2 linked regions of the Callithrix jacchus genome follow. The protein of the gene in region 1 purifies or fractionates together with the protein of each later gene. This does not show direct contact. Links are inferred from orthologs where the notes say so. Each region holds a gene or a part of one and is shown on either strand. Other genes may lie near its edges. The genes, in order: USP1 and PHLPP1.

Region 1 (14,677 bases):
TGAAGTCTTCCTGGTTCAAAGATAGGTATCTACTTGGATCCAACAAGGCATGGGGAAAGGGGTGAGGGCACTCTCTGGGGCTCTTTAACAAGGGCACTAATATCATTTCTTAATCACCTCCCAAAGACCTCATCCCCAAATACCATCATGCTGGGGATTAGGTTTCAATGTGAATTTTGGGGGACACAAACATTCAGTCTCTAATAGATAAGGTCATGAGGGTAAAGCTCCCACAACGGGATTAGTAGCCTTATAAGAAGAGGAAGAATTCAGAGTTCTCTACACACTCACACTGAGAAAGGGCCATGTGAGGACACAGCAAAAATGTGGTTGTCTGCAAGCTAGAAAGAGCCCTCACCAGAAACTGAATCTGCTAGCGCCTTGATCTTAGACTCTCTAGACTCCAATACTGTGAGAAGTAAATGTCTGTTGTCTAAATTTCCTGGTGTATATCATTTTGTTATAGCAGCCTGAGATGACTAAGAGACTGTGCCATGTTTCGCTGGAGCTGGGAAGCAGTTTCAAAGGCTTTCACTTGGCCTTCCCCACCATTATGGCTTTTACTCCATAGGCAAAGTCCTAATGGAGTTGCATCAGCTGCCAAAAAGGACAACCCATTATACATTTGAAGGGTGGGGAAATGACCATTAAGTGTAGTCACAGATCCAGTAGTAAACTCACTCTGAGCTGGTCCTTGCCATGACTCCATTTATTAACTGGCCTCTTTATGCCCCCATTATAACAGAGGACCACGATGATGCTTGTGGCCTGTGGACAGCAAGTTAAATTAATAACCTGTTTCACAATCCTTGGAAAGTTTGGGTATGCTCATTTCACCAGGGTACAATGACCCAAGTAAATGACTGAAGATCCCTTTGGGGAAGGACTGGGGAAACCATTACCATTTATACTATTGAGATATAGCAAGGTCTCTTCAGTCAGTGGGTTCCAGGTCTAAAAATGCTCTGGTCTGGAAACTAATTGACTATTGCGTGGTTATCCTTAGCGTCCTGGTCATCTATCCTTGTTTTCCCACTAGTACAAAATAATAGAGCTTTGTTGATTGTCTATTTTGCCCCTAAGGACATTACCATCTAGTAACCATTTCTATAACTCTCTTGGTCAGGTCCCCTTGGTAGCTCATAATAACTGCAAGCTCCTGGCTTCTGGTAATTAAGTACTGCCACTTGGTCTGTATTGTTTTGGGGTCTTATCATCTCCATTGTTATCAGTGAGTATAGGTCTGGGAGGCCTCTGCTACCATCAGTCCTGGCTTGCAGAGAGCCACCACTGAACTTTTTAGTGATGTTTATGTCCTTTGCACCAGTGCATTCCTTATGGCCTTGGTAAATGGTGTGTCCTCTGGGCCTTCCCTCAGAACATAATGATCACAACCTTCTGTACATAATATATTCACTCTAGCAGACCCATTTCTGGGAGCCTTTTAATCCCTTTTTGAGCCACCTGCCTACCCTGGCACTTCTGGCATTTCATTTTTTCTCCCATGCTTTTAGGAGCCACTGTAGTAGTGAGTGTTCACATCAAACTCTTGGGGGTCCTTGGCAGAATATTAAATCCTGTATTTGGAAGAATACTCCAAATTCGATGTAACTTTCCCCATTCAATTTTACATTCCAGCTCCCCTTGCTTAAGCATCATCTGAATCCAGGCCCATGTATTCTTCCTAAGTTCCTGTTGCTACATGCTTGTCTAGGTCTTAAATTTTGGGAAACAGTCCTTTACCTATACTCACCAGGCACAGCACCTTCCCAACTAGGTTATGCTATGATTTAACCCTAATTATAGGTCCACTGGCCAGAAGACTAGATGAGAGGTGTGAGTGCTGGGGGAAGGGAGAAGGAAGGGAGGACATGCCTTTCAAGTAGAAGCCTCTGTAATGTTTTCTAATACAGGAAAGTGATAGCTCTTAGGAGGGAGGAGGGGCCACACTTCAGGCATCAGAGGAGCCAGGGGAATTGAAATTTTCATGATCACTACCCGCATGTCCTGTGTGTCAGGGTGCTAGATTTTCTCAACCATGGCCCTGACTTTGACACAACAGACCTATTTTAGGCATTTAACCATCTTTTAAGTTTGGCCACTCTAAAGTGGTCTTGGTGCTCAGCTTTCTCCACTCTTCCCCTGCAGATGAGAGCTGCTTTTTGAGCAACAAAGAGGAGCTCTGGTTTTCACACCAGACCTTCAATTGCTTATTACCTACCCTCAGCTGTTCTTTATTTTTCTGTAATCAATGGAGTTTAGCAATAACCATCCAATTCTATTATCCTCATAGCTACAACTTCCACCGTACATCTTAACTGCCAGATATATCACACCTACTAGTGCATTCTCTTCCACCTGGTACATCATCCTGATTGGACCATTATCTTGTGCCAGGAGCTGACTATGCTTCACCTACCACCTCCTAGGTAGTCTATAATTAAGCTCCCAAACCCCATCTGATTGTCTACTTTTTCCAACCAATCCTTGTACTAACTCATGCAGGCAGGCTTCTTGAGGAGCAGATGTGGAGAGAGACAAAGCTGGAGTATGAGATGTGAAAGGAAGGGAGAGGAAGTAGGACTGGGAAGAGAATGAAGTCAAATTCTAGTACAAGTCCAACAAAGCTTTGGCCAGCTTGGCCAAGAGTTCCGGAGTGAATACTGACCATCAGAGGTGTCCAGTGGTGGGCCATAATGGCTGAGCCTTTATAGTCCAGTCTTGCTTAATCACCCAGTTTAGGCTGCAAAGCGCATGACTGTGGGCAAGGCCACTGTCTGTGGTTAAAGCAGAGCCTGATGGAACTGACAAGTGGAGGTACTCTTTGCAGCTTGGGAACAAGTCCTTCCTTGAAGGGGGATCTGGGGAGCACATCTTCATATCTACCACAAGGGCATACAGATATCCAGCATATTCTCTTTTCAAGGAACCAAAAGGTGTACAGTACTTTTCCATTTTTCACCTTTTGGGGTATCTTCGCCTGCTGACGATTTTTTTTTTAACTTAGTACAGGGAAGCATAGCAGAGAATGCTATTTGTTCCCTAATATCCATTTTATTATTCTTCCTTAATATTATAACCCTTGATTTTTAGTTGGGTATATGGCCACCCAGAATAATGCTGTCATATGACTTAAGCTCTGGCCAATGAGCTATAAGTAGGAATGGTTTGTACAGCTTCCAGGAAGTACCTTTAAAGAGAGGGGACCATGATCATCTTTATCCTTTTTTCTTTCCTGCATAGGAGTGTAGACATGATAGCTGGAATCCAAACAACTATCTAGGACCAAAAAATAGAAGCCACATGTTGAGAATGGAAGAAATTAGGTCCCTGATGGTCATGGAATCACCATACTAATCTAGACTGCCTACTTCTGCTTTCTGTATACATGATAAATAAATAAATGTTAATTTTAGCTAAGGCCACTTAAAAATATTCTGTTACTCATAAACGAACCTATGCCTATTGGATGCAAAGTTTGGTTCCTATAAATTTGTGTTACACATAACCTTAAAAGAAATGTGGTGTTTGTTTAGTAGAAGCATTTGGGCAGTGGGTGGTAAAGACTCAGATACTGCAAGATGAAAAACTGGTGACCCTTGTTGTCCAGTTGCCAGACATTTGGTAAACCTGTTGCCAGCTTTAGAAGGCAGATCACATACCAATCTGTGGCATGAAGGGAATAGTGACGTCGGCGTTGCTGCCGAGCAGCGTGCTTGCATTGCTGGTGCATGAGGCGCGGCACGGGTCCTTCAGTCAAAGCCATTTATCCGTGTGCCGACGCTGTCTGCCAGCCTCCTCCCTCACCCGCCCTCCTTCCCCACATTCCTCCTCCTCCTCTCCTCCTCCTCCTGCTCCACCTCCTCTTCGTCGTTGTCGTCCTCCTCCTCCTCCAAGCTGCTAGCTGACAAATACAATTCTGAAGGAATCCAAATGTGACTTTGGAAATCGTCAGAGAAAACAACCTTAGAAAATGGCACAAAATCATTGTGCACCAGGAGAGAATGTGGGGGCGCAAACCCTTTTCCTCCCAAAGGGTTGTGGCATGAAGGGAAATGGTTGGAAAAGGAAGGAATCCAAATGTGACTTTGGAAATCGTCAGAGAAAACAACCTTAGAAAATGGCACAAAATCGTTGTGCACCAGGAGAGAATGTGGGGGCACAAACCCTTTTCCTCCCAAAGTTGTGGCATGAAGGGAAATGGTTGGAAATGGCGGAGACTAGCCTGGCCAACATAGTGAAACCAGTCTCTAATAAAAATACAAAAATTAGCTGGGTGTGGTGCATGGTGGCGTGCACCTGTAATCTCAGTTACTCAGGAGGCTAAGGCAGGAAAATTGCTTGAACCCAGGAGGCGGAGCTGCAGTGAGCCAAGATCATGCTATTGCACTACAGCCTGGGTGACAAAACAAGACTCGATTCCCAACACCTCCCCCTAAAAAACACCTCATAATTTGAAACTTTAAAGGGCGGGAAAAAAACCACACTTCTTCTTGCCTTCAGACTGAAGTACAGTTGGCCTTCCACATTCATGGGTTCCAAATACATGGATTCAACCAACCACAGATCAAAGAACCTTATGAAAAAAGGTACACAAAGTTCCAAAAAGCAAAACTGGAACTTGCCACATGCCAAGTGTTAAATACTATGTTAAATCCATGTGAATGAAGTGATGTGTAGACATTGTATTAGGTAATTGAGTAATCTAAAGATTATTTAAAATATATGCAGGATGTGCATAAGTTGTATGCAAATTTATGCCATTTTATATATGGGACTTGAGTATCCTTGGATTTTGATATCGACAAGGGTCCTGGAACCAATTCACCATAGATACCAAGGGATGACTGTACATAGAAACAGTGCCTGTGAAACTTAGGAAGGAAATATGCCTGGCATTTACCCATACAAGACTGACAAATATAGGATTAAGAATGCTGTGAACCTATTAAATCCCATTTTTCCAGTGGGATTAGCTGTCATTAAGAGTAGGGTAGCTGAGGAGTGCACAGAAACCAGGAAAAAAGTTTCTGGGCTTAAAAACTAAGCAAGAACTGTGGCTAGAATTTCTCCCACAAAGAACTGACTGAGAGCAAAAGGATGAGAAGGATATTAAATTTTCACATGAATTATATTGCCAGAGATACACCAAGCTTCTGCTATGGCTATTGACAAGCACAGGTGTGGAGGTGTTTGATTTTTCTGAAGCAGCATTAGCAGAAATCTGTGTCCAGCCACTTGTCCTGTGGGTATTGACAGGCAGGACCTAGGACATGCATGGCACTGGTGCAGATCATAGTGGATATAGTGAGGTTCTAGGGTCAGCAGTGCAAGCAGCTTTCTGATGGTGGAGGTTTCCGAGGCATTGCAGTAGCAATGTGATTCAGAGACATCATTTCCGGATCATAGAAGAGTCATTGCTGAAAAACTAATCTAGAGCCTATTTAATCAACCCTCCCAAGTATGCGATACCATTGAGTTTCTACTAGCTGAAATGGATTCTATTTTCTGCAACTGAATCTTAACTGATACCACATATTGAATACAGGAAGAATAGTGGCTGCAGACAATAGGATCTCAGGGATATGGGAAAATAGAATTGCTTATCCGTTCTGGTAGAGATTGAAAGTAGCAGTAATTCTGCTAGTACTAGAAAATGAGACACTGCCAGTCTGTGATACACAATGGCTAAGAAAGACTGACTTACATATTTTCTAATCTTGTCCTTGTGTATTTTGTTATATGCTGGCTCAACATCTGTATGTTAAATAAGCATCTCAATCTTAATATTCTAATGATGATCCCTCCCATTTAGCCCACTAAGACCCCCATTTTAGCAAGGACCAATAGTTATCTAAGTTGCTCAGATGAAACAAGACAAAACAAAATCATTGTTATCCTTGCTTTTTCTTTCTTTTTCTGGGGGGGGACATATGACAAGGTTTCGTATTCTCACCCAGGCCAGAGTGCAGTGGTGCATCTCACTTCACTGCAGCCAGAGATCCTCCCACCTCAGCCTCCCGAGTAGCTGGGACTACAGGCAAGTGCCACCACGCCCGGCCAATTTTTGGAGTTTTTTTCATAGAGATGGGTCTCACCGTGTTGTCCAGGCTGGTCTTGAACTCCTGGGTTCAAGTGATTCACCGACCTTGGCCGCCCATTGGATGCCCGGCCTGTGTTTTCTTACATTATCATACAGCCAATCTATTAGCAGAGCTCATTGGCTATACTCAAAATATAGCTTGAACGCTACCAGTTTTCAGCAACCCACCATCTTATTCCAAACTATCAAAATTTATTTCTTGGCTTATTTAACCAGAATTTTGGCTGATCTTTCTGTTTCTACTTTTTTTTGAGACAGAGTTTTGCTCTTGTTGCCCAGGCTGGAGTGCAGTGGCGTGATCTTGGCTCTCTGCAACCTCCACTTCCAGGTTCAAGTGATTCTCCAGCCTCAGCCTCCAGAGTACCTGGGACTACAGGCCTGTGCCACCACGCCTGGCTAATTTTGTAATTTTAGTAGGGACAGGGTTTTACCATGTTAATTAGGCTGGTCTTGAACTTCTGATTTCAGGTGATCTACCTGCCTCGGCCTCCCACAGTGTTGGAATTACAGGTGTGAGTCACCGCGCCTGGCCTTCTGCTTGTACTCTTGAAGGTCAACGTGTATCCTGCCATTCCCCAGCTCAGAATCATCCAACCACTCCCATCTCCTTACTCAGCTTACCCAGGGCCCTGCCAGTCTCATCCATGTCCCATCTTCTTATTCTTCTTTTTTTTTTAGTGATGGAGTCTTGCTCTGTCACCAAAGCTGGAGTGCAGTGGCACAATCTCGGCTTGCTGCAACCTCCGTCTCCCAGGCTCAAGCGATTCTTCTGCCTCAGCCTCCTGAGTGGCAGGGACTACAGGCGCATGCCACCACGCCTGGCTAATTTTTTGTATTTTTAGTAGAGACGGGGTTTCACCGTGTTAGCCAGGATGGTTTCGATCTCTTGACCTCGTGATCCACCTGCCTTAGCCTCCCAAAGTGCCAGGATTACAGGCATGAGCCACAGCGCCCGTTCTCCCATCTTTTCTTAAACTCACTGTGCTCTAAGCGCCCTGGCCTCGTTGCTCCTTTCCAAGACACCAAGCACATTAAGCTTCAGGACCTTTCTAACTTGCTGTTCTCTCTGCCTGCACCATTCTTCCCTCAGATTCCTCCAAGGCTCGCTCAGTTTTATTCAGCTCTGCTCAAATGTCAACTCAAAGAGATCTTTCCAGACTACTTATACGGATAAGTATCCATCACTTATCTTAGTGTCACTTGACTCCCTCTCCAGAATGTAGTGCTCCTTTATGGCAGGGAATGCATTTCATCCCTCAAGCCTTGAAAAATGCCTGGTACATAGTAGGCGTCTTAAAAATATTTGATTAAATGGATTTGGACTGAACATAACTTACTTAACGGCAGCACTCGCGTTGAGGTCACCTCACCAAAGCAAGCACACAAACACAAAACGAAGCACAAGCAGATGAGGCCTGCCTGCCGCTCCTGCACCCTTTGGGAGGGCCCGCGCGGGAACGCTGGGAAGCTCCTGTGGCCGGAGCTGGGCCTGAAACTGTTCTTTCGTTTCCTTCTGCGGCCGAGGAGGGGAAGGGTTAAACAGGCGCACCGAAATGGGAAAGGGGTAAATAAGAAAAAAATGAGGCGTGGAGGGGCTGAGGATGGGGCCTCAGCTCTACAGCATTCGCCTGAGAATGTACTGTTATCTGTGGCAGCACCTTGTCTCACTGGATGGCCCTAGGCCCACTGGGGCTGCGACTCAGAACCGAAAGCCTCAGCGTGGCGCCAGCGGCTACCCTGGCAGCCATTTTCGGAAGCTGCTATCCTAGTAACCCCGCCCGGGCGCGTACGCACGAACGGGAGGCGGGGCTTGCCGCGAGGGCCTCGCTCCGGAAGCCGCACCCTCCGCGGCGTCCCACCGTCGAAGATTAACAAAACGCCAAACAAGATTTTAACAGTCGGAAGCGAAAGCGCGCACTCGAGCGCCAATGAGAGCGGAAGGAGGGGCACCGCGCCTGAGGAACGCACCGTATGTCGAACAATGATTGGCTAGAGCCCTCCTTTCTTCTTTTTTTTCTATTAGCTGGGCTTGCTGTTCCCGCCCATCTAATTGGCTTTGGTCTAGGTACTTCTGATTGGCTTCCCCCGGGCGGTGGGGGGCGCGGTTTTGGGGACTATTCATCATGGATTGGTGAATTTGGGCTCCTTCTCGAGGCGGTGGCCCGTCGGTCTTTTCTCTGTCCCGTCTCCCGACCCGTACGCTTTCCCTTAACTCGCGCGCACGAATGGTTAAAAAAAGGGTGTGAGGCTCGAGCCCGCCAGCCAGGCCGCTAGCACTTCGCGCGCGCCCTCAGCGAGGACCCGCACGAGCTGCCCGGCTCTGTGCCTGCGCTGTTTGAAACTGCGGAACCGGTTAGGCTATTGGGGAACTACCGTCCCAGTTGGCTCCGGAGCCCGTGCGTGCCGGGGGTGAGTGGCCGTCGCGAGGCAGCTCCTGACTTTCGCGTCTCTGCAACGTGGAGACTAGAACCGGCAATTTCAAAGGACGCCACCTTCAATCGCAGCGCTGGCGCGGGCGGAGGCTAAAACACGGGGGTCCTGAGACTGAGGAAAACGCGCCAAGTTCCCCTCGGTGGTGGAGTGCGAAGGACCCTAGCGGTTCAGGCGCTCAGCGAGTGGGGCCGCTGCTTCTTGCGTTCCTGGCCGTCCCGGGGCGGGCGCGGATGGGCGCAGCTCCGGGGATGTAGTTCGTGCCGGTGCAAAGCGGGACCGAGCGGTGGCCCGGGTTCCCGCTCTTGGGAGCGGATGGTCACTCCCCCGCGGGGAGGGCGATCCGACCAGATTTTCCTGGGGCCGGGGATCCGGCGGGCTCGGGGCAGGGACTCACCTGTCGCACCCACACTCATTCGGGTTGGACTCGCCGGCGTCACCGCCGCGGAACTCGCTTTTGGCCATGACCAGGTAAGAAGGGCCTGGGAGGAGGGCCCGGCGCTCGGGCGCGGGGGCAAGTTCGGCCGGCGCCGGAGAGGTACTGCCAGGGAGACCCCGGGAGTGTGTTGGCCCTGCACCCTGACCAAGCTGCCAGCGGGAGCCGTGTGTGCCCCGGGCGGGGCGCCTGTCTTGCCGCCACCGGGACCCGAGAAGGCAGGTGCGGGCTGGGCGTAAATAGGCCAATTCCACGGCGAGGGCGCTCGGCGCGGGGGTGTGGGCCGAGGACGCCGCCGCCAGCCTCCCCCGGCCCGGTGGCCCGGTGGCCCGGTTGCTGCACGTCCTTCCAGTTTCTTTTCCGTTCCCGAGAGCGGTGAAGGATGGGGAGAAAGAAACGTTTCCACGCAGCTTGCACTGTGTCGGTAATTGCGAAATTTTACCGCGCATTTTCTTTCACTTACACTTTCACCAGAAGTATTTAGAACGCCACGTGTCTTAAACCTTGGCGAAGATATTGTCCTTGTTGTAGATTTTTCTCGAGAAATCGGAATCGAGTCGTGTCATAAAGGAAAGAAATTAAAACTGTTGGGACTGAGTGTTCACGCTGTCAACAGATAATGGTCGATTCGTTGTGCTTTCTGCGGAAGTTGAGTTAGTTACAGGAGAAATATTTTGGATGTAACAGTCCCCCAGTTATAAGGAAAGCTAGGAGCAAGAAATAATAGCGCGGAAGATACTGCATCTGGCAAAATGTTGCATTCTCGGTGTGAGCATTGCTTTGAGGGACCAGGAGTTTGTTTCGTTGATTAAGCTGACGATCCGCTATTTCACCCCCCTAATCATTCTTCTGTGAAGTCCGGTTACTCTGTCAGTTTGAGATCCAGTTTCTATCATCCATTAGAATGGGCTCTCGAGAAAAACCTTTTATCAGAATCATTAATGCTTGGCGATCCCTGAGAACTTAGCGCAGGTTGGTTTATCAGTCAGAAGACAGCGCTTCCTGAGAAGCATTGGATATGAACAGGAGAGTAAGTGGAGTTGGTGACAGAATGGGGAGATTGGTCACTTTACAGATCATCCTGACTTGGGTCTCAAAAATGATTTCAGTGCTGAGTTCAGTGTGAATTCCTAGATCGCTGTCAGCCAAGTGAAATGCCTATTAAGGATGGAATTTGAATGAGTTTTGTCTAGTTCATTTTATCACTCTGCATTTCAAATTTGAAAGTCGTTGCTGAGGTTTTGGGCTTTAAGTAATTTAATGACAATACTCCAGTCAGACAATTTTTCCTCATTTGTTCTACTGAAATATAGGACTGAAGTAGAAAATGTTAACTCCTACAAATGTTGCCATTATTTTTTCATGTGAAAGTTTTACTTTAAAACAGGGTAGGAAAGTTGCAAATGGCAAACAAGATCATCATTTTTCCTACTGAAAGCACTATTTTTAAAAACCAAAGTTTTTTTTTAAAAGTTTGGAAAACGAGTAGAATATTGTAGTTTCTAGTGCATTAAGAGTTTGATTTACGGGCCGGGCGAGGTAGCACACGCCTGTAATCCCAGCACTTTGGGAGGCCGAGGCGGGCGGATCATGAGGTCAGGAGTTGGAGACCAGCCTGGCCAACATGGTGAAGCCCCGTCTCTACTAAAAATGCAAAGAAATTAGTCGGACGTGATGGTGCACACCTGTAATCCCAGCTACTCAGGAGGCTGAGGCAGGAGAATCGATTGAACCCGGGAAGTGGAGGTTTCAGTGAGCCGAGAATTTGATTTACACAGAGTGCATCAAACAGTTTTTTATATCACTGTCTCAACTTTGCATATGTTTTATTATCTTTCACTTGGGTTTTTAGGTATAACTTAACACCATCCCTATGCCTTGAATGCAGATTATACTTTAATAAGCTTTTTAGATACTGATACCTTATTTTCATGTATTCATGTTAGTAACTAGAAAAGGCCTTGGAAAAGGGGACTCATCGTCCAGCACTATGATTTTCTGTTCATCCTTGTTTCCCACCTTGTACTTGGGAATTAGAGGTGGTAGTGCTCAGTCAGTATTTTCTGAATGCATTATTATAATGAAATACTAAGTTTTTACTAATACTACCTTACTGTAGGTCTATTAAATAGGATATTTTGTAATGCGACCCTTAATCCATAGCAGGCTGATTTAAAAAATTCAGTAGCTTTTATTTTTTGTTCTTTATGAATAGTGTGGCAAGCTCCTTCATTTAAACAATAAATATTGAGTGCTTATTGGCAGGCATGAGGTTTTCAAATATTAATTTCTAATGTATCATTCCCTTGGTAAATTTGTTTTCAAAATTGATGATTTTGTTACCTAAAACTGATACAAATTTTTCTCTGCGGTTAACAGATATAATTGGTGATTACAACTTTTCCCTATAAATTTGTTCTTGACAACTCCTTGGGATTTGAAGAAAAAAATGCCTGGTGTCATACCTAGTGAAAGTAATGGACTTTCAAGAGGTAGCCCATCAAAGAAAAACAGACTTTCTTTAAAGTTTTTTCAAAAGAAAGAAACTAAGAGAGCTTTGGATTTCACAAATTCTCAAGAAAATGAAGAAAAAGTTTCTGAATATAGAGCATCTGAAATGTATGTATCTTACATTTCTGTACTGTTAAAATTCTATGGTGAAGCAGCAGTGAACTTGATTGACAACTCCAGTCTGACTTTATAGAGGCAAAAAAAAGTACACCTAAGTGTACTTTTTAGTAAGTCTAGTAGTTTATAGTAGGAACAGCAAAACTGGTGGTTCCCATAGGGATCACATCCATAATGTTTAACTCATGAACACTGTGCTCAGGCATTTAGACTAACTTGGAGAAATATTTATTGACTAAAATTGTCTTTCTGAGTTTAAATTTGATTATTTGCAATGCAAAACATTTGTGTAGGGATAAAAGGTGATATATATTTGTTTGGTTCAGAAGACTTGGCAGTTTACATTTTAAACTTTGTAGTCATATATAATTAGTCATACCTGTTGGAGGCATACGATTGTAAATCATAAAAATAAACCTATAAATAAGTAATGCTTTTGATGCAAATAAATTCTTTAGCTACTGAAAATAAATCAGAACAAAGTAGAATACTTTATTTCATCAACAGCAGCTCTAGCTGGAGTCTGTACTCCTTTCCTGTTTAACAAATAAGCACTCTGCTGGGTGACTAAGGTGGATTTGGTCCCATGTGTTAATTTCCTAATAGCTACCAATAATCAGTTGAGATTGAGAGAGAACCTTTTGTTTATCAGCATTCATGCTTCTAAATACTTTAAGATGCTAGAGTAATGATAGCTAGCAATCGTAAAATAAATGAAAATACTGGGAGGACCTAGTGGGGTTTTTTTTTGATTGTTAAGGAAGTAAAAGAATAATAAACTTGAACTTTTTTTTTTGGAGACAGGGTCTCATTGTATTGCCCAGGCTGGTCTTGAACTCCTGGGCTCAAGCAGTCCTCCCAAGTAGCTGGGATTACATGTCAGTGCCACCACATCCACCTTCTGAACATTGTGAGGAATAGCTATATAATTTTTCTTTTTTTGGCCAGCAGGAAGTCATATATAATTCTCTTCATAGACTTTCTTTCCTCTGAATTCTGACTGATAGAATCTTACTTAGTGCAGCCTCTCCCAAATATTGTCATGGTTAGTTTATTCCCAGGTTTTTATTCAGTAAAACTACTTGATTAAAATGTCAAAGTAGGTGAAACAAATCACAGTCTTAGTTCCTCAATTTCCTACTCTGTAAAATAGGATTAACATCCTTCTGAGGGAATTGTTTTGAGGCTTGTTAAGTGTAATAATGTTTTTAAATACTTTTAAAACTTATTCTGGGCATGTAGCAGTTTTTGAGCCTGTATTTTTTAAAATGTCATGTGAACAAGGTTCACATACTTTTTAGATTATACAACTTTTGGGAAAAGACTAAATCTACGGAAGTAATATTTTCTCCTTGTTTAAGATGCTGCTTGATTATCCTTCTCCCTTCTATACTTAATAGTGATCAAGTTGTTCCTGCAGCACAGTCTTCACCTATAAACTGTGAGAAGAGAGAAAACTTGTTACCATTTGTGGGACTGAATAATCTCGGCAATACCTGTTATCTTAATAGTATACTTCAGGTAAATTGACAATTTTTCTATATAATAAAGCTTTAGTCGGCAAAGAATGATGTAACAATGTAACATTTAATGTTTCTGAGCTATTGAAGGACTTTAATGTTCATACTGTCTTTGCCTTTGATTGTAAATATAGTAGGCTAAAACAATATGTTGCATGTTATTAAACTTTGGGGTAAGAGAAAGTGATACACTAAATAAAGGTGGGATAATAAAATTGAGTAGACCTTGATAAAATGGAAGATGTCTCAAAGCTTTAATTTCTTTCTCTGATTCCTGGTGCTACAGTGATATGTATCTTATCCCTTGGAAATAATGTTGGCATTGTGTGTCCTTGTAACCTTAAAGTCTTAGCAATATCTGCCCAGGCTCAGTGCTTTGTGCCAATGAGGGAAGACACTGGGCTACTACTGATGGGGTGGAGAACAAATTTTGACACAAAGCTTAATCTCAGAATTTTAGGTAATACACATTAAAAGTGCGCTATAGAAAGCATGATATTGTTTTAATGATTTTATGTATCTTGTTGGTTCAGTAAACACTGACACAATCTCACTTTTTATAGGTATTATATTTTTGTCCTGGTTTTAAATCTGGAGTGAAGCACTTATTTAATATTATTTCAAGGAAGAAAGAAGCTCTAAAGGATGAAGCCAATCAAAAAGACAAGGTAGGAAAAATATATAAAAGAACAGAAAATAACATAAAATGCCCAAGTAAATGAATGGAAATTCATTTGCCTGGAAACGAAGAGGATTTTGAGGGGAGGATGACAAAGATTATTTCTCTGTTAATGAACTATTGTCAGAAACGCAGTTGTTTTTCATTCTTTCAACTTAGCTAACTAGATAATTCCCTTTTACTGAGTGTTTGCTCTAGTCCTCAAATCTGTTTATCATACTTTCCTCGTTTGTATACTATAATCACCATGTTATACCCATGTATAACCTATTTACCCATTGTGTTTTCAAATTGACTTTTTAAAAAATTTAAATACACTGTATTTAAAACCATTGTAATTCACATGAATAGTAATTAAAAATTCCTCTTAAAATTACAAAAAAGACCAGGCGTATTGGCTCACACCTGTAATCCCAGCACTTTGGGTGGCCAAGATGGGTGGATTGCTCAAGCGCAGGAGTTTAAGACCAGCCTGGGTAACATGGCAAGACCCTCTCTCTACCAAAAATGCAAAAACTAGCTCGGTGTGGTGGTGTGCCCCTGTAGTCTCAGAGGTGGGAGGATTGCTTGAGCCCAGGAGGTTGAGGCTGCAGTGAGCCTCGATCAAGCCATTGCACACTCCAGCCTGGGCAACAGAGACTCTGTCTCAAAATAAAAAAAAAATAAGGTTGATTTGTCTATCCCATAAAATTAGTGCTATAATGCAACTTAGAAAAGCTAGTAAAGTGAGACAAAGACAAATGAAGAAGGCACTTAATTTGTTCACAAATAAAATTATTGGTTTGTGTGTTTCTTTCTTGACAGGGAAATTGCAAAGAAGATTCTTTGGCAAGTTATGAATTGATATGCAGTTTACAGTCCTTAATCATTTCGGTTGAACA
Region 2 (14,940 bases), on another chromosome or scaffold:
AACCAAAGTAACTGCGAAAATTAATTCCATTTTCTTAAAATGTTTTTTCTTCTACTGACTCTAGATACTGGTATGCAAGCACATAGCTCAACATGAATAAAGCTAAGTAGCCAGTAAATTTTCCACATTTGTATCCCTCCAGTAGTTTAATTAAACTTGATGAACTAGACTACGAAGGTATCTTGCTTTCTAAGTCAATTCAAGAATTTCACTTTACCTTAAAAGAGGATGTAGTTCTTTAAATTCATCTCTGGCATGCTGAATTCTACTTTGGGAGCAGGAATAGCAGGGAACAGGTCATCAAACATCGATTCTTGTCCTAATCTACACCAAAAAGGAGGTCTGCTTTGGTTGGATGGCAACCTCCAGCTGACTTGTGTACATTAGGTCCAAGCCCATAAGAAAAAGCAGGGGATTTGACAGTTTTAAGCCCATAGCCATGTCTTACAAAACTTAAAACAACTACCACCTTTAAGGCCCTTAAAAAAAACATGCTCTCTAATAAAGCCTCAGAATGTTACCAGTTGGAAGAGATCTTGGACTTGTTCTACTCCAACCCCATGGTTTTACAGATGAGGAAATCAAAGCCCAGAGTAGGTTAAAATGAATGCCCAAAGTCATGCCAAGTTTCCCAACTCTCAGACTCGTTCTCTAAAAAGCAGTACATTTTCTCTCACAGTATGAGATAAAAGGAAAGAATTCTTTCCCAAAGTTCTGTTTTTGAAAAGAAGAGTGACTTTGACCCCACCCCCACCACACCAGCCAAACTCTTGCTGTATTTTGAAAACATGCCTGGTATTTGAAAAGAAAGCCCAAACACTCTAACACATTATTAACTGAGGCAGGTATATGAAAAGATTCATACTCCAACTGCTCTTCCTCAGATGTCTGAATCAGAAGAAACAGAGAGCAAGAAATACAAATCTCTTCCTCAAACAGAATGTGAGAAAAAAAAAACTTTAAAAAAATTACAACCAATTCAAATTCTCCCAAATTTCATCTTCTAATTAGATTTTTCACTCATTATTGAAATGGTCCAAAACCAAATATTTCAAATTTCATTCAATCTTCAACTCCATGCTTTCACAAAGGAGAAGAGATGCTAATTTACTTTTAGCCAAGCTCCAGTTAGAAAAGTATATGCCAAAAATGCTGGATATTTTTTGCTCATGTTTTGCTAAAATGTTACTATCTGCAAAATCAAACAATATATGCAACCTACAAATATTTTATGGAGTTTCCATTATAACTTCTAGGTCACAAACTCAAGAGGCCATTAGGCTTATACTTATTGTTAAATACATTTTAAAATGTATAAAAATCTCAAATGTAACAAATACAAGTGGGGATGGGGTGACTACTTCAGTATGGATGTGGCATTACAGAATGGTCACGTCTTGCTTGTTTCATTTAACACGCCAAAAAATATATGAGGCCAAGTCATGGTAACACAACAAAACCATTCCAATTCTAAAATCAAAGAATAACACTTCATTAATGTAGTAACTATTATTATGCTCGATAAAAAGTATAATATCACAGAATTTCAAAGAGTTGCTATTTCACAGTTACCTAAATATACTAATGTCTTTTAATCAAAGTATCAATTAAAGTCTATTCTTTCCAGGTCTTTAAGTTTCAATTTATCAAAATTTTCTGGAGTTGAAGTTTCATACAAATCCAGTCAGTCAGTCATACAACCTTAGGTTACAAATATCTAAAATATCCAATGAATCCACATGGTCTATTTTGTTTAATTATATTATCTTTAGAAAACCAAAGTTAAGTATAAAAAACGGTTTGCCCTGCAATCACAGTGACATCAGACCAGATTCAAAACCCCTCATTACTAGTGTTCCACCAGATGCCTGTGATTAAAGGGAATCAGTTTAGAAGGTGGAACGTTAAAGGAAAAAAAAAAGACTTCATTTTCCCAGGCTGTTTTAGACATTCTGATAACATCTCTTTCTCTTTTTCAAAATTAAGAAATCGTTTCTCTATTGAGTGGCTTCAGGATATCTTGACTTTCACAGTACAATCAAACCCTTCTCCAGGCCAGATAGACCTGTTAAACCCTGGCACATAACAAAATCATTAAATCTAAGATGCCTCATTTGACAGACGTCTCATTAAATTCACTGCAAAATGAAGGTACGAGATGTCTTTGAAAACTGGGGGGAAAACCTGTTAAATCAAAGAAAACTTTGAGAGAGAGCTCTTCTCTCAAAATCCAGAGTTCACTCACATGAAATCGAAGATATTAATAGTATGTGGCACATCTAAAATCTATTGCCATGGGAGAAATGCCACTGTGTGTATATGTGTGTTTAACACATCCCTGGGGACTCAAACAGGATGAAAGCTAAAGAAAGAATCAGGGCACACACCATCAGCTGCTTAACAAAATTCCAAAAATTCAATTCAACAAATGTTAAACTAAAACATTAAATATTACACTAGGCTTCGATCACATACAGTGTCAGTGAATGTTGTGTTACCAGTCAATGAAAAGCTAAATTCAGGATTCTAAGAAAAGAATGAGAAACAAGAAAAACATTTTACACTTAAAAAAAAACCGTCTTTGTATATATCAATCATTTAAGGTGGGTGATTTGACAATCTTGTAGCAACCAAAAAATAAAACTTTCAACCTAAAACTTTACACAAACTCATTTACACTCTTCTCCTGCCCCTACATTATTTCAATGCATATAAAATTTTAGTTATTTAGAAATAACTGAAATTCAGGGAGAAGAACTTACTCTCCAGCACTAAATAACATATGAATTATGAAAATTACACAAGAGCATAGTAACACCAAGAAAGGATCATTAAAAGACAATTCCATTTTTTAATAATAGGTTTAGGTAAAAAAGATATTTAATGACAGATATTCTCAGTTACTTTAAAAGCTATATTTTAAAGAACCTGAACTGTCATGCACACACACACAATACATACACTCCCCTCAAACACAATACATACAAAAGTCATCCACTTTTCAGGCAAAGTGTTAACTCTCTACTTCCCAATGAAGATTTACTTCCCAATGAATAAGAGAATAAAGAACTATTAGGTAAACTTTACTTCATATCAACTTAAATGCAAGCATGACTATTTGCAACCAGAATATTTAGAACACTTTACTTCTCTTTCCATACTGTCTACTTATTTCTCGTCTTGGTTCTCTATATTTTTTAAGGCAGCATGATAAACAGAATGATCCACATTTCACAAGAAATACCACTTTGAACTAGAGTATGTCACCTCATAACCAACAAAAACAGCATATTTTCAGAATGCTTTTAACCAAGTGAAAAAATTCAAGTGTAAATTTAATTTAGCATCAATTCATGGAAAGTGATATGAATTGCAAAATAGAATACCCAAGCTCTCTATTCTCCATCCTGCCGAGGATGGAAAAACCACAAGCAAGGAAGGGTCAGATCTCTCTGTGCATCGGTTTCTCAGTCTGAAAAGAACAGTGTCACTGACTCCTCCTTAACACTGTTTTTGAAACAGTATATGAAATAATTTATGTGGAAACCCTTTAAGATGTTTGAAGATGATAAAATCCAATGTATTACAGACGTTATCAAATCACAGTTGTGAAGGATGGCATGTACTTTACAACAAAAACAAATAAATAGAAACATTAAAATTAAAGTATGTTTTAAAATGTAAACAAACCCTCTGTACTGAAAATTAAAGGGACTGTTCAAGCACACACTGGTGTCACATGTTCAAACCGTGTTACTCAATGCTGCTGTAATTATAGTAGTAAGAACCTACTCGTCAATATTATAGCTTAATGCTGAACTTCCCCTCTTGGTTTGCATGTAGGAAACCACGTTAAGGTTTGATCATTCCCAGAAGAGAAAAAAAAAAGGGAATATGAGAGGGATAAAGAGATTGTTCCAGAGAAATCCCAAGGAGTCACACATAAAAATACCTTGTCCAAGATTCACCAGGTACAGTGAGTGTGCACTGTATTCTGTCAACACCCTTTGTCATTGCTAAAATTCAAACTGAAATTGCTAGACCTCTCAGCTCTAAGTGGTGGGAAAAAAGAGTCAAAAAAATATAAAAAGATACAGTTTAATGCTGCCCTACATGAATGACAAAGGCTCCCCAGAGAGTCGAAAACAAAAGCTCATTCACATTTAGGAGTCCACAACTTATGTCAGGCAACCTAAGTTCTTGAATTTTTTTAACCTATAATTACTCTCTTTCAGGCAAAATTTAAGATGTCTGATTTTACAAGGATGTTAAATACTTAAGTAACTTCAGATAAAGCTCATTAAATTTTCTCATATCTTAAGTGAGCTAAGAGAATGGTGGCCTGGTAGATGCTATAACAATTTTCAAACCAAGTTTTCGTTAACAACTCTGTAATTAGATAGTACCTTTACCCAAGGCCTTTTTGTTCATTAAAGACTTTCATTTTACTTTACCCAAATAAATATTTAAATATTCAAAGCAACCACAAATGGGTTTCAAAGCCTCTAAAGAACAACCCTAGTCAGCTTACAAACACTAAAATTTAATAGAAAGGTAATTTTCAAGAGAGTAGACCCTTAAGACAATAGGTAAGTTCAATTTAAATAAAGATAAATATTCAAAAGAATTTGAAAGCAACTTCCTAGCTATCCTGAACCCCAACTATACATAAACAAACAACATGCAGCAATAAATTTAAAAATAAGTTATATATAAAATTACCAAATGGGGTACAGAATTTTCAAAAAACCCTGTAAAAGGTGTCATCTAAAACAAACATTAATTATCCTCTTCCTACAGAAAAAGAAAAAAAAAAAAACACTTCTACCAAAATGTAACTCTCTCCTGTTGAGGTGTCCTACATTCTGTTGGAACACGGAATTTCTAGGAATTACTCCCAGTCTGGTGCAAACCTTCACTATATGTGAAGCCCTGACAATGCTTCCATAAGTGAGATTACACTTCATTCATCAATAACTGAACTTCTTTGCACAAATTCAAGTGGATTCACCATACTAAATTTTGTTCTATGGCAAACGAATAACAGCAAAGATGTGTGGCATATTAACCTAGGCTTAAAATAATCTCAACTTTGCTTAAAAAACCAGCAGTTAGATAACTTTGTAACAATCAGGCATCTTTCTTCTAGGACACCTGTACACTGCTTTAAATTCAAGAATAGAGTGGAAACTGTGTGTGTCATCCCCACTTTTGTAAGCAGTGGGGATTCATACTCAGTGGCATGAATGCATTTATGGCTGTGCATATAGAAATAAGGCAGTAAGTGCGGAATGCGGTAACAATTACTGCTTTTCATAGAGAACAAAACAAGATTAAAAGATCATGCCAAACATTTAACTGGGAAAGACTTGTCATTTTAATATTAAGATGAGTTTTGAGGAAAAAACAAGTTCTTATTACCCACTAGAATATCTGGGACACTCTGGAAGAGAATCGAATGGACATTTATCACAATGGACATATCAATCATGAGCAAAACAAGGGATAACACACTATATCCATATAAAATGTGTTCAAACTCTATTTCATATATCCCTTGTTTTATATACGTTTTCTTCCATGTAGGTATAAGGGCGCCTATTTTTAATGCTTTTGTAAAATAACAACATTTTACAAATTACATGAATTACAGGAGAAAAAGATACAGCTGTTGATCTTACACAAAAAATCATCTATTTCCTGGGCCATAAACTTTAAAAGGCATGTCATCCAGTTGACAAACTGTCCTCAGATACTACAAATGCTACTGTATTATTATTTGGTTTTCTTTACAAGGAAAAGATTCATCAGAAATTCACTTAAGAATTTCAGAAAAACTTCCAAGGAATTTAAAAGGGCATCTCACTAGAAATGCTGTCAGTCTTGCGGATTTCAGTGTGGGAGTAAAGATGTAAAGATTTCTTCTTGCAAACTAACTAAACTGCCACTGGGGCACAAGCTGGACCGAAAGACATTAAATCGTAAAGAATAACTACAAATTAATGGAATTACAAGTATGATTATTCTTCCACCATCACCTACAACCTAAAAACCTAAAGGTGACGAAGATTTAACACTCCTGACTTAATTTTGCTATGCTAACTTTATTTAAAATAAAATTCCTTATCACTGAGAACATAGTTACTCAAACCAGAGGAAGAAAAGGATGCAAACTATTTATCAAACTCAAGTACAATATCCAGGACCTATAATATAGCTCCTGAATTTAGTACTAGCCAAGTCTTTAGCCAAAAGAGAAACATTACGTGGGTCACCCCAGTCAAGAATTTGATAATGTACTGAAAAAAGAAGGGGAAGATTTTAGATCATATCTGAAGAAACAGTAACCACCTAAATCCTTCTTGTAAACCCTCCTGCAAGTCCTACAGCAGTGGTCAGTTCTGACCATAAAGGATGGAAGAAATTCAAGAAGAAACAAGAAAAATCATTTTTTACGCAAGACAAACTTGCAGACAAAACAGAAATCGAGCAAAAAAGCGCTGGGGAAAAGTATCAGTGAAAAAAAGGACCCTTTTGTCAGATTTCTAATGGGGAATTTATGAGTGTGGCAGAGCTGAATAAACAAAGGCACCAGTTGACAAGTCAGGAGCTCCCGGTGGCACACACAGCTAGAACACTCAACTGGACAGTGAAATGCAAGCAAGAGTGTTCTAGAGCATTTCTGCTGTCATTTCTTCCGTCCGTCTTATGCTCGCTCACGTGACCGTTTACCTGAAACCCCAAACAGCCTGAAACCCAACAAGTCCCTGAGGAAGCACCTTTATGGTTAAACGTGCTCTTGCCGCTTTCAGGGGGATCTGCTTCCTGTGCTTCCTGATGATTCAACCACCTCCTCCACATTGCTTTCCAACCTCTGGGGCCTCAAGATTGATAAAACGCGCAGATTTACAGATTGCTCAGTTTAGTACTACACAGACTGTATGAAAAAGCTGTAAAGTTTAAGACAAAGACTCACCAGGACCCGAACTGACTCCTGGGTTGGGCAAACTGACAAACCATTTGAATCACTCCTCGGTCCTCGGCAGCGTTTGCACCCACCCGTCAAGGTAGGTGCCTTCCTTACCTGCATAGAAGCGAATGAGGCAGCCAATCTCCGAGTCCATGCCTTCCTCCTGCACCCTCCACAGCTCCCCAAACCCCAGCTGGAAGAGGTAGTCATTTTGGATCTGCAATGGCTTCTCCTCCGCCTCCAGGCGCCGGGTGGTCTCTCCGTGGAGCTGCACGTACAGGGTGGGCGGCGGAGGCACTTTCTCCGCGATCGCCCCGCTCCTCCTGGGGGTCGACTGGGGGCCTCCCGGGGCCGCGACTGTCGCCGTTTTCTCCCTGCACAGCCCCTCGCGGGCGGCTCCGCCCGGGCTGTCGACGGCCCTCGGGGCTTTCTGCTGCAGCGGAGGCAAAGACGCCGTCTGGGAAGGCGGCCGGGGCTGCGCGGGGCGGCCGGGACGCCGGGGCGGGCCCGGGACCCCCATCGGGGCCGAGGCCGGGTCGGCCTCTAGCTCTTCCGACGACGACGAGGAGCCGCCGCCGCTGCTGTAGGGGTCCAGCCGGTCAGACACGCTCTCGGCGCTGGGACTCAGGCTGAAGCTCTCGGTGTCGGAGGCCACAGGTCGCCGGGCGTGGGGCGGAGAGGCAGGGCCCCCCGCGAATGGCTCGCCGGGGCTTAAGTCCGAGGGCGCGGGACTGGCGCGGAGCGTCCACCCGCCGGGGCCGCCAGAGGGTAGGGGCAGGTCGGCGGGGGGCGCGCTCGGAGGACCCCCGACGGCACCCGGCGCGCTCCTCGCGGGCGGCGCCTCGGAGTCTGGCGGCTCCGGGGGCGCGAGTCGGGGGCCGGCCTCCAGGGGCGGCTCGGCGGCCTCCCGGGCGGCAGCGGCTCCGGGCCCCTGGCCCAGCACCTTCACGACGCCGCCGCCTTTGTGGCCCAGCTGCAGCAGGCGGGCGGCCACCTCGCCGGCCGTAGTGTCCAGCGTGCAGAGCACCGGGCGCTGGTAGGTCGAGGCCATGTGGCGGTCGAAGACGTGCACGCAGCCGCGCTGGAGCTGGTGCCTCACCCAGTCCCGGTCCGACGGCTGCAGCTGCAGCGTCTGCCGGTGCTTCAGGAGCAGCGTCTTCCTGTCCAGGCTCCGGGTGCACAGCGACGCCGAGGCCGAGCAGGAGGCGGGGAGGCCGGCGGCGCCGGGGGAGTGCGAGGCAGCAGCGGCCAAGGACGACGACGACGAGGCGGCCGCAGCTGCAGCCGACAGATTCCTCTTCAGCCGCCCTCTCCTCAGCAGGAGGGAGTTGGTGCCGCCGCCGGCCCCGGGCACGGGGGCAGCTCCGCCGGCGTTGGGCAGGGGCGCCCCGCGCCGCCTTCTGCGCCCGGTGCCCCCTGCTCTGCCCGGCAGCGGCCCCAGCGGCGCCTCGCCCGGGGCCTCTTCCCGCGCCCCGCCGCCGCCGTTCCCGCCGCTCGGGGTCCCCGGGGTCAGCGCGGGCTCCGGACTCCGGCCGCCCCCGGCCGCCGCCGCCAAAGCCGCCGCGGCCGCTGCCGCTGCCGCCGCCGCCGCCGCCGCTGCCGCAGCGGCGGCTGCCGGAGCCGAAGCTCGGTCCTCCCTGCCGGGCTCGGGGAGTCGCTGCGCCGTGGCCGCGGCGGCGGGCTCCATTGCAGTGGGGCTTCGCGTTTCCCCCCCAGCTCCGGAGGCAGCGGGCGGAGAGGGAGGCGATGAGGCGGAGGTGGGAGACAGCGGCGGCGCGCGGAGGAGGAGAAAGCCAATGGCGTTCGGCTCGGCCGTTCCAGGGGATTATGTGGCGATTCGGAGCATTCCGTCGGTGTCTCCGTGTTCCATCCCGCGCGCCCGCCTCGCCGCCACCGCCCCCCCAACACACGCCCTCCCCGCCCCGGTCGCGGGCTCCCCAGCGCGGGCCCCGCCCGCTCCCCGGGCCTCACCCCAGCGAACCAGCCGCGGAGCTGGGCTCATTGAATATTAATCACGCGCCGGCAGGCGGGGAGGCGGGAGGCTGGCAGGGCGGGAGGGCCGCGTGTGCCTAATGAATATTCATCGCCGCATGACGGCATTCCAGGGAGGAGTGGGGAGAGCCGGGGGATGGCCGGAGGCGGAGCTTCAGGGTAAACAAACGTGACGCGTGCGTACCAGGGCGGGGCGGGGGGGGCAGTTTCCCGGGAGGTTCCTGAGCCTGCCTCGGAGAGGGCGGTGAAGACAGACGCGCAGTGCACCTTGGGGGTTGTGGTTCTCGTCCGGGTATCGGCAATCTCTAGGGAAACATGACGGACTACAAGTCCCAGCGTTCCTTAGCTTCTGCCCCGCCGGCCCGCCTGCCCGCCTGCAGCTGGCCATGGCCAGTGAGTATTGTGCCCTCTGCCGTTGAACTCTGCCAGAGTTCTTAATGAACGCGAAAGCTCTTGTTTATTAACTTGTACTTTACCCGCACTCAAGCTCGTCAGATGACTTTTCTTTTCCGTGCCAATTAAAGATGAGGGCTTTCAGAGACTCTAAACAGTACGAAGGACCCGGGTCCTGCTCCTCACCTCCGCCCATTGTATGAGATAAGAGATACTCACCCGCCACACCACAGGATCACTGGCGGCGAGTGGTCCAACCTCACTTTCTTCCCACTTTTTCAAGACCCAGGAAGACAGGCGGTGTCTGGGAATTCTAAGTGAGACTGTCGTTGAATGACCTTGGTGGAAGGCACAACCTTAAGCCTGTCCTCTCCCTATCCTGTATCTGAAAAGGAAAATGACAAAGGACTGAGCTCTCATTGATCTTGAATTCTGAAGTAGTTTAATGATACGGAAAGCACTGGAAAGTAGAAGAAACATTAGAATGGAGACATGGTGAGGTATGAGATGGGCTTTTTCCATGTATTCTCTCTTAACGTCTTCTCTGGCTTTTTTCTGTCATCATTTAGGAAGAAAGTATTTTCTATCGCTACAATGTTTAGTCATAGTCTGAAAAGTTGTATTTTTGGTCAGTTGAATCAAAGTTGTAGGCTGGACTAGGGCAGTTTACTATTTAAAATAATTTAGTACATCTTTTTAATTGAATTACCATCCTCCACAGTTGCTTTATAATTCGGGTTTTGTTTTGTTTTGTTTTGTTTGCCACAGAGTTGGTCTGTTGCCCAGGCTGGAGTACTGTAGCGTGGCCTGGGCTCACTGCAACCTCCGCCTCTGGAGCCCAGGTGATTTTCCCACCTCATCCTTGGAGTAGCTGGGACTACAGGGTGTGCCGCCAGGCCCAGCTCATTTGTTATATTGTTTTGTAGTGGGGGATGGAGAGTCCCTTCATGCTGCTACGGCTGGTTTCAAGCGATCTGCCCACCTCAGCCTCCCAAAGTGCTGAGATTACAGGCATGAGCCACCGCGCCAGGCCAGGCCCTAAATCTGGATTTTCACCTAAGAACATTTTAAACTACATCCTATCCAGGAACTGCTTTAACATCAATTAAGTTACTAAACTTGGAGATGAAGAGTTAAGGGGGTTGGAGAGAGACCAACTGGAGCTTACAGCAAGGAAAGGCACGCTTGGGTTATCACAGTTTCATTAAACAAGAATAGAAGAAGCCATGGAGATAAAAATAAGTATTTCTCAATGATTTTTTACATTCCTGATCATTTTCTATGTTTTCATTTAACAGTTTACCTTTTGACCTCATGAAGCTATTTATAATATATATTTTATTTAAATTCAATCAACAGCAACATTAAAAATTGGGGAGATTGCAAGTTCTCCCAAGAGTGATAACATATTCAAATCAATTAATTTAACAAATAATTACAAACAGGTATTATGTACCAGTCACTGTGTTACAACAGTTGAACAAATCAGACACTGTCCCTGCCTTCATAGAGTTTATAGTTTAGAAAGAACAACATTCAAAAAGTGAGATTGAAGTAGAGAAGGGGGAAATACCATTGGAAACGGACATAAAACAAGGAAACTAACCTACTCTAGGAAGTCAGGCAATAGAGACCAAACTCTGAATGAAATTTTTTCGTGTCAATGAAAATGTGCATTTGTTGAAGGATCAGTCTCTGAAAGAAAGGAAGCAAAGAGGAAGCGAATATATTGAAGACATATTTCAATTACACTGATCTATATTGTGCCTTCAGTAGCCCCAACACAAACTATTTGTTCTAGAAATTCAAAGAGTGGTCTTTAAATTTAGGCATCCTTTAATAAGATTAAAAGAACAAAGCCCATGTTAAGTTTCAGTACTAAAACATGGAGTTTGTATACCTGTTTATATTCCTTAGCTGATTTCCTACAAACCCCTTTATATTTATTTATTTATTTATCTGCTTTATTTATTTATTTGAGACGGAGTCTCACTCTGTCACCAGGCCGGAGTGCAGTGGGGCTCTAACTCCCGGGTTCAAGCAATTCTCCTGCCCGAGCCTCCTGATTAGCTGGGATTACAGGCACCTACCACCACGCCTGGCTAATTTTTGTATTTTTAGTAGAGACAGGGTTTTGCCATGTTGGCCAGGCTAGTCTCAAACTCCTGACCTCAGGTGATCCACCTGCCTCTGCCTCCAAAAGTGCTGGGATTACAGATGGGAACCACCGCGTCCAGCCTGTTTGTTTGTTTGTTTGTTTGTTTGTTTGTTTGTTTGTTTGTTTGTTTTGAGACAAAGTTTTGCTCTTGTTGCCCAGTCTGGAGTGCAATGGTGTGATCTCAGCCCACTGCAACTTCTGCCTCCGGGGTTCAAGCGATTTTCCTGCCTCAGCCTCCTGAGTAGCTGGGACTATTGGCATACCACCATGCCCAGCTACTTTTTAATTTTTTTTTGTAGGTACTGGGTTTCGCCATATTGCCCAGGCTGGTCTGAAACTCGTGACCTCAAGTGATCTGCCTGTCTCAGCCTTCCAACGGGCTAGGATTACACACATGAGCCACCACATCCAACCCAGAATGTTTCTTCTCATCATAAATTCCGCACCATTGCCCTTTCTCCAAGAAATTACAATACAGTATTTAATCCACCTATGGTTCCTATCAGGTAACATTACACAATCACCACGGCTCTGCCTTTTTATTCTCTAGGAGTTTTATTTACTCTTTGAAGGTATTTATAACTAAAACACCTCCTTCAAGGGGAAAAAAAATTGTACAAAAAACATTGTTCTGAGAGGGCACAGTGGGTCGGTCATGCCTGTAATCCCAGCACTTTGGGAGGCCAAGGCAGGTGGCCAAGGAGTTTGAGACCAGCCTGGCCAACGTGGTGAAACCCCATCCCTACTGAAAATACAAAAAATTAGCCGGGCATGGTGGCAGGCACCTGTAATCCCAGCTACTCAAGAGGCTAGGACAGGAGAATCGCTTGAACCCAGTTGGCGGAGGCTTCAGTGAGCCAAGATCGTGCCGCTGCGCTCCTCCAGACTAGGCAACAAGAGCAAAACTCTTGTCTGGAAAAAAAAAAGACATTGCTCAAAGAATTTAGTATCCAAATATTGGGGAAAAGGGTACTGGAGAGCCATCACACACTCCGGTAGATAGGGACTTGGTACCAGGGATACCTAATACTAAGTTGTGGTGGGAGGAGGCAGGCAATGAACAGGATGTTCATCAATGAGATGTTACAGTATCTCAGCATAAAGAAGAAGGAAATGCATTCCTACCTCATAAAAGCAGTGTTTGCAGGGGTGGGGATCTAAAATAAGGTTTTCCTGGATTTCATGCATAGAGTCGATAATCTGAAAGATGACATATTCCATTGTATGCAGAATAATAAAAAGCAGAGCTAAGAGGAGAGCAAATGGGCCAGGGTCCACAGTGTAATCCTTCCCTTGTTCTACCCCAAGCCTCCAATGATGTTACTAAGCTTGGGGTAAGAGAAGAGACAGAAAGAAAACGAGAGCTCCTGAAGAATAAACAATCCCTTACCACCAGATCAACTGGAGCCTGGTAGTTGAAAGAACAAATTGATAAAGGGCAATGAAACTTCTACTTAGAGCTTGCTAGTATCATGAAACATCACCCAGACCATCTGTGCCAATGCACACTGTAAAATGTCTCCAAATAAGAAAAAGATTTCAATAGAAGACAAATGTGTTCCAGATACCCATGAAATAGCAGCTTCTCCTACTTAAAAGTGGAGTGGGGAATACACCAGTATCCTAAAACAACATATGTCATGAATACCCCCCCTTTAAAGTGTTCCAAATGTATGTTCTAATACCACATTTCTTACTAACCACACTTTTCAAAGAATCCCATTTTAAAATGCTAAAAGATAACCCTGAAAAGAAACATCAGATGAAAAAGTTGTAAATCCTGATGCCAACTTGTTATATTTTCACAGCTAAGTCTAGAAAAGGAGAACGTAATTTCCAATTTATTGCCACAGTTTACTTTATGCTATGTAATTTATAACTGACTTGTTGTGTTCTGCATCTAGGTTAATTCTGTTTGCATCCTTAGATCTAAGATAAAGGAAGTCATCTTTGGATGTTTCTTTTCTAATATAAGCTGTTGGAATTTTAATGGAGGCATAAATTGATAGCTGGGATGATTTCAGTCTGAGTTGTTAAGGGCTCAGCTGTGTCCAGAAATAAACTCAGAAAGATGCAATATACAATGTAATACATTTAGTTCCTACATTATGAACAAGGGATCTAATTATAGTTTCACATTTTTATATCCCTTGAGCTACTAGTGGTTTACCATGCCTAAATTGTTCACTGTTTACTCATTCTTTTTTACTATGAGGGACCCATTTAGCAAATTACTGCTCTAGTGCACTAAATGGGCCCCAGGTGGCCAAACTGAATTAATATGTTCCCTGTTCACTGGCAGGATGAGACCTTATGGTCTCTCTAATGTCTTACCCCTCCCTCATGAAATTTACAATTTGAATTCTATCAAGAGGTTGGATTGCTACTATCATTTTAGGTAGTCTGTTTTACAATATGGCTTGATAGCTTTTCAGATTTTAGTGCACTCTTTTTAATCCCGTAATTCTTTGTCTTGTTCTTATTTCTCACATCCTGTCTCACCAAAATAAACAGATGTTCCATACATGGCAACAATGAAGTTGAGACCAGAAATACAGGCCACATAAACCCACCCTGATACTCTAACAATGTAAATTATCTGGGACATTCATTCAGCAAGTACTTATTGAACTTTTTTTTTTTTTTGAGACAGATTCTCACTTTTTTTTTTTTTTGAGGCTGGAATGCAGTGGTACAATTTCGGCTCACTGCAGCCTCCGCCTCCCGTGTTTAAGTGATTTTCCTGCCTCAGCCTCCAGAGTAGCTGATTATAGGTGCCTGCCACCATGCCTGGCTAATTTTTCTATTTCTTTTAGTAGAGATGGGGTTTCACCATGTAGGTCAGGCTGGTCTCGAACTCCTGACCTAGGTGATCAACTCGTCTCGGCCTCCCAAAGTGTTGAGATTACAGGTGTGAGCCACTGCACCCATCTACTTATTGAACTTTAAGTTTAGGTATCATTCATCCTAAGTAAATAGTATAGACAAAAATACCTGATCTAATGAAGCCTATTTACAGGGATTGGCATTTAAAAAAAAAAAAAATCTTCAGTTAAAATCAACCTATTCTCTTCCATTATACAGATAATTCTTGTTTTGGGCAAGTGGGATACATGAGAATCTAGATATACAAATTACATATTAGAGTATAAATATTTCTTCTCAAAGTCTCATTTATTCTTTCCCTTATGAATGAATTTGTCACACATTAAGTACGCCTATAATATTAATACATTTAAAGTATATTAATCTTAAAAATTAATTTATTCCTAGCTTTTTAGAAATGTATTTTGGATTCTAACTTCACACAACCACCTAATACCTGTTTTGCATCAAGATTCCTATCTAGGCCAGGCATGGTGGCTCATGCCTGTAATCCCAGCACTTTGGGAGGCCAAGGAAGGTGGATCACCTGAGGTCAGGAGTT

The links.
Region 2: the proteins of USP1 (region 1) and PHLPP1 purify together in Homo sapiens (affinity purification with mass spectrometry; 6 studies listed by BioGRID and IntAct, counting the BioPlex papers as one, with this or other methods). This does not show direct contact. The link is inferred for Callithrix jacchus from reciprocal best matches to the Homo sapiens genes USP1 and PHLPP1.

What each region holds. Positions count from the first base shown.
Region 1 is NC_133508.1:99,522,995-99,537,671, forward strand, and holds the start of USP1 (ubiquitin carboxyl-terminal hydrolase 1), read left to right. Parts: upstream 1-7,908; 5' UTR 7,909-8,168; intron 8,169-8,632; exon of another isoform or gene 8,633-9,004; intron 9,005-11,348; 5' UTR 11,349-11,418; coding exon 11,419-11,588; intron 11,589-12,997; coding exon 12,998-13,118; intron 13,119-13,680; coding exon 13,681-13,785; intron 13,786-14,600; coding exon 14,601-14,677. UniProt on the Homo sapiens protein: Negative regulator of DNA damage repair which specifically deubiquitinates monoubiquitinated FANCD2. Also involved in PCNA-mediated translesion synthesis (TLS) by deubiquitinating monoubiquitinated PCNA.
Region 2 is NC_133514.1:105,679,658-105,694,597, reverse strand, and holds the start of PHLPP1 (PH domain leucine-rich repeat-containing protein phosphatase 1), read right to left. Parts: upstream 8,658-14,940; coding exon 7,085-8,657; intron 1-7,084. Other genes in the region: uncharacterized protein LOC118146920, read left to right, coding at 8,020-8,478, 8,528-9,043. UniProt on the Homo sapiens protein: Protein phosphatase involved in regulation of Akt and PKC signaling.